Nothobranchius furzeri: one gene and its partner. The protein of the gene in region 2 interacts with the protein of the main gene of each other region in a pairwise test. Links are inferred from orthologs where the notes say so. Each region holds a gene or a part of one and is shown on either strand. Other genes may lie near its edges.

What was found. The genes of interacting proteins can lie anywhere in the genome.
Region 1: the proteins of serine/threonine-protein kinase 4 (region 2) and rassf5 interact in binary tests that used the Homo sapiens proteins (3 or more experiments, as listed by UniProt). The link is inferred for Nothobranchius furzeri from reciprocal best matches to the Homo sapiens genes STK4 and RASSF5.

Annotation. Positions count from the first base shown.
Region 1 is NC_091743.1:51,065,652-51,069,964, forward strand, and holds the start of rassf5 (ras association domain-containing protein 5), read right to left. Parts: upstream 2,828-4,313; 5' UTR 2,699-2,827; coding exon 1,975-2,698; intron 1-1,974. Other genes in the region: ikbke (inhibitor of nuclear factor kappa-B kinase subunit epsilon), read right to left, coding at 4,238-4,304. UniProt on the Homo sapiens protein: Potential tumor suppressor. Seems to be involved in lymphocyte adhesion by linking RAP1A activation upon T-cell receptor or chemokine stimulation to integrin activation.
Region 2 is NC_091743.1:73,684,716-73,688,286, forward strand, and holds part of serine/threonine-protein kinase 4, read left to right. Parts: intron 1-1,621; coding exon 1,622-1,736; intron 1,737-2,224; coding exon 2,225-2,389; intron 2,390-2,579; coding exon 2,580-2,747; intron 2,748-2,829; coding exon 2,830-2,967; intron 2,968-3,131; coding exon 3,132-3,257; intron 3,258-3,394; coding exon 3,395-3,571. UniProt on the Homo sapiens protein: Stress-activated, pro-apoptotic kinase which, following caspase-cleavage, enters the nucleus and induces chromatin condensation followed by internucleosomal DNA fragmentation.

The DNA.
Region 1 (4,313 bases), about 23 Mb from region 2:
CCACTGCTGGGATGTAATCCCAGACAGGAGACACTCAGAGCTGGGATTAAGAAGCTCCCCTCCGTGACGTGTGTGTTTTCATATCATCCCCTATTAAATCAGCAAAACAGAACAAGATTATTGCCCAGTAACAGTCTGACTCTACACATGGCTCAGATATTCCTGCAGCGTCTTTGTACATGCTGAGTTGGGATGTTTTATCACATGACTCTATGATTTAGCTGCCAAGAAGAGGAATAAAGACAGAAACTAAATGAGAGAGAAAAAAGAAACCCACAGATGTAGTTGAAAGCCAGAGGACGACGAGACTGGGAGCTGACTGACAGATTCCTCTGCAGGGCAAGGCCACAACAGTCCCAGAGGGACAAGCTGCTGCGTCGCCGTTTCTACAGGATTCCTACGCAACAAAGGCGCAGCAGGCTGAGAGAGGGCAATAAATGAGAGGAAATGCAGCAAAGCAACAAAACAAAAAGACGCTCATTTGTTTCCGTCTCATATTCCCTGTCATTTCCAGGGTGTAGTTGAGAGACGATAACGTGTTCTTCTATTTCGGCAGTTTCGCTTGTTTCTCTTTTCCCCTAAAATACCTTAAAATGCCTCACTGTGTACTGTGTGGTTTACCCTCGTGACCGTGCACGAGGTTCACCAGGGATGCTTAGAGGAAAGAGAGGAGAAGCGTCCAGGCTGCAGGCCAGAAAAAGAGAAGCTAGAGAGAGAGAGAGAGAGAGAGAGAGAGAGAGAGAGAGAGAGAGAGAGAGAGAGAGAGAGAGAGAGAGAGAGAGAGAGAGAGAGAGAGAGAAAGAGAAAGGAAAACACAAGTGAAGTTCTAGGGTTGTGAAAACCTGTGTGTGTGTGTGTGTGTGTGTGTGTGTGTGTATGTGTGTGTGTGTGTGTGTGTGTGTGTGTGTGTGTGTGTGTGTGTGTGGAGGGATTATTGCTTCAGTAATCTCGCTCCAGCGAGCTCTCGCCAACAGCACACTAAATCAGACAGCTCTGCAGAGCCGGACCAACTCCTTTGTTCACATTAGATCTTTCTCTCAGCCTGCCTGCAGTTTTACATCAAACCAAGCTACGTGTCATCTATTCTCCGATGAAAGTGTCCCAGTTGAGGGATTGAAAGGGATTATCCTTTAAGTGTTCCCATTCCTTATCAGTTCCCCTTTCCCTCCTCACTCCTTTCATCGCCTTCAGTCCTTTGGTTCATCCCACCCTCCTCATGACAGAGTGCTGCTGACACAATGCTAGCTCAGCATGAACACACACTCACACACACACTGGATGTACAGTATGTGCACAAATAAACCCACAAAGGCTCTTCAGGTCGTCTGTGTGTGTGTGTGTGTGTGTACATGTCAACACAAATTAAAGCTGTAAACACCAATGCAGGTGGGAGGAGAACAACCCTGAAAGACTGACTCATGAAATCAGGGGTTTCCCTCACTCTGAGTGGGCTTCTTTAGGGGTGATCAACACCAACATCTGTGTCTACATTTGATTGGAGTTTCCTGACTTTTTCTAAATAAAATTTAAAGTTTTTTTTGTCTTGATTGACAAAATAAAAGCCTAATTTAGTCACTTAATGGCCAAATCACACATCTCAGATACATCGGGACTCTTTTTCTCTGTTACCTGCAGGTCCTTGCAGCGTTTCACCACTGCAGCATCATAAATTCACCATCTTTTCTACTTTACTTGCGTGTTAAGTCTGTGAGGCAAAGTCGAAAGAGCGATATAACGGGCTTATATGGCTGGATCCGTGGACAAAGCGATTAGAAATGTCCTTCTGCAGCACTGGCTCGCTCTCAAAGTCCCCATTTTAGTGTGTGTGTGTGTGTGTGTGTGTGTGTGTGTGTGTGTGTGTGTGTGTGTGTGTGTGTGTGTGTGTGTGTGTGTGTGTGTGTGTTCATATACTAAATGAATCAGAACCGTACACTAATGCATGTTCTGGAGGAGTTTTCTCTCAGCCTGACTCACTCTGACACTTGACCACCTGCGCGCTGATCTCCCGGCTGCAGACATCACACCAGTCCTGGTTCACCGGCTGGCTCTCGAAGCGGTGACCCTCGCCCCTTTCAGTCCTCACACGTGGATCCATCTCTTGCGGAAAGATGGACCAGGCCTCGGTGCGGTGAGGTTCGGTCCGGGCCAGCTTCACGATCCCTGTCCTGCTCTGTGTGAGCCGCTCCAGCGGCAGACCGCCGCTCTCCGGGGGGGAAACCACATCGGAGGAGACGCTCTGGTGACCGGTGTGTCCACTCCGACAGCTCCGTCTCAGAGAGTCCCGGTGCCGGAGTGACCGTTTGTTCCCGCTTGGAGTCAGTATGGCGTTCTCCTTCAGAGAGCCCCCCCGCCGACTTGAGTCATATTTGTGGCTGTAGCCATCGACGTGCCCATTCTGTGACCTGCCGCCGCCGCTGTCCTCCGGGTGCGGGCTACGTGGCGCATCAAAGGCAACCGGGGCCCCGCATCCCTCCCTGGGCATTCTCTTCCCTCTTCCTCCGGCTGGTCCAGGAGCCTCCTCGGTCCTAACCGGCTCCAGGTCATCGCCGCTCCTGGTGAACATCATCTTCTCCCAGGACGACTTCCTCGGCAGGGTGATTTTCGTCTTGGTGCCGGAGAGTTTGAAGAGCAGCACCGGCGGTTCCGAGTCCAGCCTGTGCGGACCGGGCTGCTGGCCCACCACGCTCACAGACGCCATTGTCGCGTTCGCCTTGAATGGTTGTGTGTTCGGCGGGTCGGAGTGTGAAGAAATGCGTGTTTTGACTCCGTGCCTCGATTATAAACTCAACTCCCGCCAGTGACAAACGCGTCGTGACGCAAAGTACCAACAGCTTTAAATGCCGTGAGCGCGCTCCTGGCGCACTGATGGGCGCGCGCGCTGTCCCACCAGCCAAGGTTCATCCAGAGCACTAAATGGTCTTCCTGTATCATCAGAAGGTTAAAACTAAACAGTTTGTAATGAAAGAAAATTACAGTTAAATAATAACACGTTTTATTTATAAAAGCGCCTTTCAAGACACCCAAGGGCAATTCACAACAAGTCAGATAAAATAATCATAAACACATAAAATGTTAGATTAAAAAATATTTTCTCTTTAAATAGTCAAGATAAACTTGAAAAGAGTGAATACTTTTGTTTTTATTTGAATATTATCTTAATGTAAAACAGAACTAAAACATAATGTGTGTGGGCTAGAAAGTGTTTGTAATTTTCCAGTGACAAACGCGTCATATGAGCAGTTCATTACAGCCTCCTTAGCCCCCCCCCCCCCCCCCCCCCCCAGCACACACACTCCTCCTACACTCACTTTCTGAAATCAACATCAGCTTATGCTAGTTTAAAAAAAAAAGGGGGGGGGGGACTATTTTCCCCAAAGGTCAGACCACACCACGTGATATTTTTAAATGTTTTTTGGTATATTTTCACTGAAGTGTGCCATCCCATGCACTTCTGTTTTTGGTGTTCTAAGGAACTGTGGCGCCAACGGACTTTCCCTAATAGTGGTCATCTTCACCATTGATGGAGGGGAATTACATGTTGGTATAACTCCCAATGAAAACGAAAAAAAAAACATGACTTATCAAAAACACAAAAAGGAATATTAAAACAGAATGTGTATATTCACTCTTTACTAATTTATTAGTCAAATAAACCAGAAAAAGTGGAAAATCTGAAACAGTTGGAAAGACGAAGACAATAAATATTTTATTTGATTTTCACCTTTTAAAATCTCTGTCGTCTGCCTTACACAGATCCTGACAGATGTGATGGTTGGAAACTGCCGTCAGGACGGCACAGATCATGATTTTCTAAACACAGATCAACACACCAACATGAAAATCTGATTTACACAAACAAAAATCCTAATCAGGCTACGAAACGCTCTCATAGAGGCCATATGTTAAATTCCCAAGTGCTTCTTAAGTGGGCAGAAACAGGAAATGCAGCCAGTAAACCAGCTGACTGGGCATTGGCTGTTTCATCTACAGTCTGTCACCATGGCAGCCTATTAAAAATACAATCACACACATTAACGAGGTTGGTATCAGCACACACACTAAACATCCATCTGCGGCCTATCCCACATCTCTGTGCATCCGACATTTAATCAGAGATTCACATTTTATTGATTGTTTGAAATAGCTTCCTCTTTTTATAACAGCCTCCATCCATCTAGAGAACCGGTCCGCCGCGCAGCAGAGGCTGTTAAAATGAGGCGATGCAGGTGGAGCCATGTCACAGCGTGGAGGGCCTGGCTGGGTTTGGATCCAGAGCTGCAGAAGAGTTCACTGCTCCCAGACTACTGGACCAG
Region 2 (3,571 bases):
AGTCAGATAAAAATGTCCCATAGCTTTAACTAACTTGTACAACAAAGTAGTTAATCCTGGAGCTGACACTCTTTGTTAATACTGATTGTGAATTGATTTAAATCAAGAATCGATTTTGAATCGAATCAGCACCCCAAGAATCGGAATCGAATCAAACCGTGAGTTGTTCTAAGATTCACATCCCTACTAGCGATTACATATTAGTAACAAACGTGACTCATAAACGTGAACAAAATATTAAATAAGGAAGGCAAAAGTGGACAAGAAAAAGGTAATGCAGGATCCTGAGAAAGGCAGAATTGGTAGAAATAGCAGCATGAAAAGAAGGTAGTGATGAAGAATCAATAGAAGGTCCCACCAAAGCCTGAACAGGTGAGTGTAAAGGAGACCACTGAGTCCACTGATCTCAGGCTCAGGAGGAGAGAGCTCCAGAGTCTTTGGGCCACAGCAGGAGATGATCTGTCACCTTTGGTCTTTAGCCTGGTGCTGCACAACCAGTAGGCTTTGGTCACTGGACCTCAGGGACCTGCTGGGGGTGTAGGGACTGAGAAGATCACCAATGTATGATGGTGCTTGTCCATGTAAGGCCCTATAGACCAGAACCAGGATCTTGAAATGAACCCTGAAGTTGACTGGCAGCCAGTGAAGCTGGAGGAGAAGCGGGGTGATGTGGGTGTGTTTGGAGGACTTGGTCAGAAGCCGAGCACAGGCATTCTGAACCACCTGTAGCCGGTTCAGGGAGGTTCTGCTCAGACACGTGAAAAGAGAGTTACAGTAGTCTAAGCGTGAGGAGATGAAGGTGTGGATAACTGTCTCAAGTTCAGTGTGGGGCAGGATGGGACTCAGCTTAGCAATGTTCCTGAGATGGAAGAAGGAAGAGCGAACAAGAGAACTGACATGAGAATCCAGGGTGAGAGCTGGGTCAAAGGTCACACCAAGATTCCTGACAGGGTTTGGTGTGAGAAGCAAGCTGACCAAGAGAGTCTCTGACTTTGGGAACCAGCTTGTCTGGGGCACAGATGAGGATCTCTGCCCTCCTTTCATTTAGCTGTAGAAAGTTCCCACCATCCAGGTTTTGATAGTCTAAGCAGATGTGTAACAGCTGCAGCTTAGACATCTCATGGGGTTTAAAGGAGATGTACAGTTGGATGTCATCTGCATAACGATTGTAGGCGATTCCTTTAAAGGAGCTCAGGATGTGCTGAAGAGGAAGCAGATAGAGGAGAAAGAGCAGAGGCCCCAGCGCAGAACCTTGTGGGACATCATGGGTGAGGGAGTTGGTGGAGGACCTAAACTTGGAGACGGCCACAGAGAAGGATCCCTCAGATAGATAAGAGGAGAACCATTCCAGAGCAGTTCCTGATAGGCAAGTTTCTCTAAATAATAACAAAAAAAGATCTAATTTGAAGAGAACAAAGTTTTAAAGGGCAAGAATGGTCTCAGGAGGTTCAAAACAAAAATCTAAATGTTATCAAATACAGGCCAGTTACCAATGAATAAGATTATCAGTCAGTTATTTCAGGAGCTTGTATTTGGTAAACCTGTTGGAACATCATGAAACAAGTTTGTATAAATAAACAAACAAAATGATCCTTGTGATTAGACTCCTGTCTCTGTTCAGTCCTCATGTGGTCAGGTATTATGGCAGCTATTTCAAAAACAGCGACCTGTGGATCGTCATGGAATATTGTGGCGGAGGATCTGTGTCTGACATCATCCGAATACGTAACAAGACGGTAACTTAACACTCACACACACACTCACCTGCATGTGTTTGTGCAGCAGACTGTGTCAGGTGTCAAAGAGGGAAAGGCTGATGCTTTACCCATAATGCACGGGGAAGAATCAGCATGTAAATCTGACTTTCACCAGTTTGCTCAGCCATTTCTAATGTTTTGCTGTTGTTTTTGTATTTTATGGTTTAAATCCAGACTTGGCACTGATTTGTGACAATAACAAAGGTAGTTTTCACAATTTTAACATCCAAATAAACTTGGGATGCACCGAAAATTCAGCCACTGAAATTTTCGGCTTTCGGCCGAAACATCAAAACCACAGGAGACAACAGAGCCGAAACACCCATTTTGTTTCTTTCTTTCTCACTAAAAGTGAAATATGAACTGAAGCTGTTTTTGTTGTCTGTATGCACCAAGGTTGAGTGTTATAGGTTGTTGCTGTGGGTCACATCCCATAATAACCACATGTTTGTGTTTTGGCTTTATAGCTGACAGAGGAGGAGATCGCCACCGTCCTACAGTCGACCCTGAAGGGTTTGGAGTACCTCCACTTCATGAGGAAGATCCACAGAGACATCAAGGCAGGCAACATCCTGCTGAACACTGAAGGTCAAGCTAAACTGGCTGATTTTGGGGTTGCTGGACAGCTCACAGTAAGAAGAACCTCTGAGTTTAAACTCTGTGTTAAAATGCTATTTTTTAAAGGGAGAAAGTGGAATCTGTTGTCGCTTCTTACACTAATACAAATATAATGCATCTGACGTTAAAAAATCTTCTCTGGAGCTGAATTGAAAACGTTACCAGCTGCGTTTGTTCCCTTGGATTTTTTCTTGACCTTCTCAGGACACCATGGCAAAGAGAAACACCGTCATCGGCACACCATTCTGGATGGCTCCGGAGGTCATACAGGAAATTGGCTACAACTGCGTGGCTGATATCTGGTCCCTGGGAATAACCGGGATCGAGATGGCTGAAGGCAAGCCGCCTTACGCCGACATACACCCGATGAGGGTGAGGAAGGGGCAGTGGGTTTGTCTGAGCTCACACAAGTCAGTCGGTTAATGAAATGTTTTTGTTTCATTTGTTTCTAAAGGCGATCTTCATGATTCCCACCAACCCTCCTCCAACGTTTCGAAGCCCAGATCTGTGGTCGGCAAACTTTCAAGACTTTATCAGCCAATGTTTGGTGAAAAACCCAGAAAACAGAGCGACAGCCACTCAGTTGTTACAGGTAACAAATAAAAACTGGGAATAAGCAGTCGGTGTTGGGCTGGAAAACATTATTACACTTTCTGCTACCTATCTCTAACGGACATTTCTTTTGGTTACGACTGCATTTTAAAGGCATCAGACATTAGAAATTTCAGAGCCACTTTTGTTTTTTCCCACCTGCAGCATCCTTTTATCAAATCAGCAAAGCCCAACTCCATCCTGCGAGCTTTGATCCAGGACGCCATAGAGATAAAACTGAAAATACAAGAGGAGGCAGAACAACGAGAACAAGATGAAGAAGAGAATTCGGTACAGACATAAGAGTCTGATCCAATCTATAGAGAATAAATCAAATGTTTTACTTCCAGATTACAATCAGTCATTCAAGCTCAAGAGATAGGAGTGCTAACTCAGCTAAAATCTTCTCCCATCTTTGCGTCTGTCAGGATGAAGATGAGGTCGACCAGGGGACGATGGTTCGGGCACCAAGTGAGTCCGGAACGATCCGGGCTGCTGGTTCTTTAGCAGGTTCACTTAGCGGTACTATGATTGAACGTGCGGACACGGGAACCATGCAGTCACAGCTTGGCACCATGGTCATCAACTCTGACGATGAAGATGAG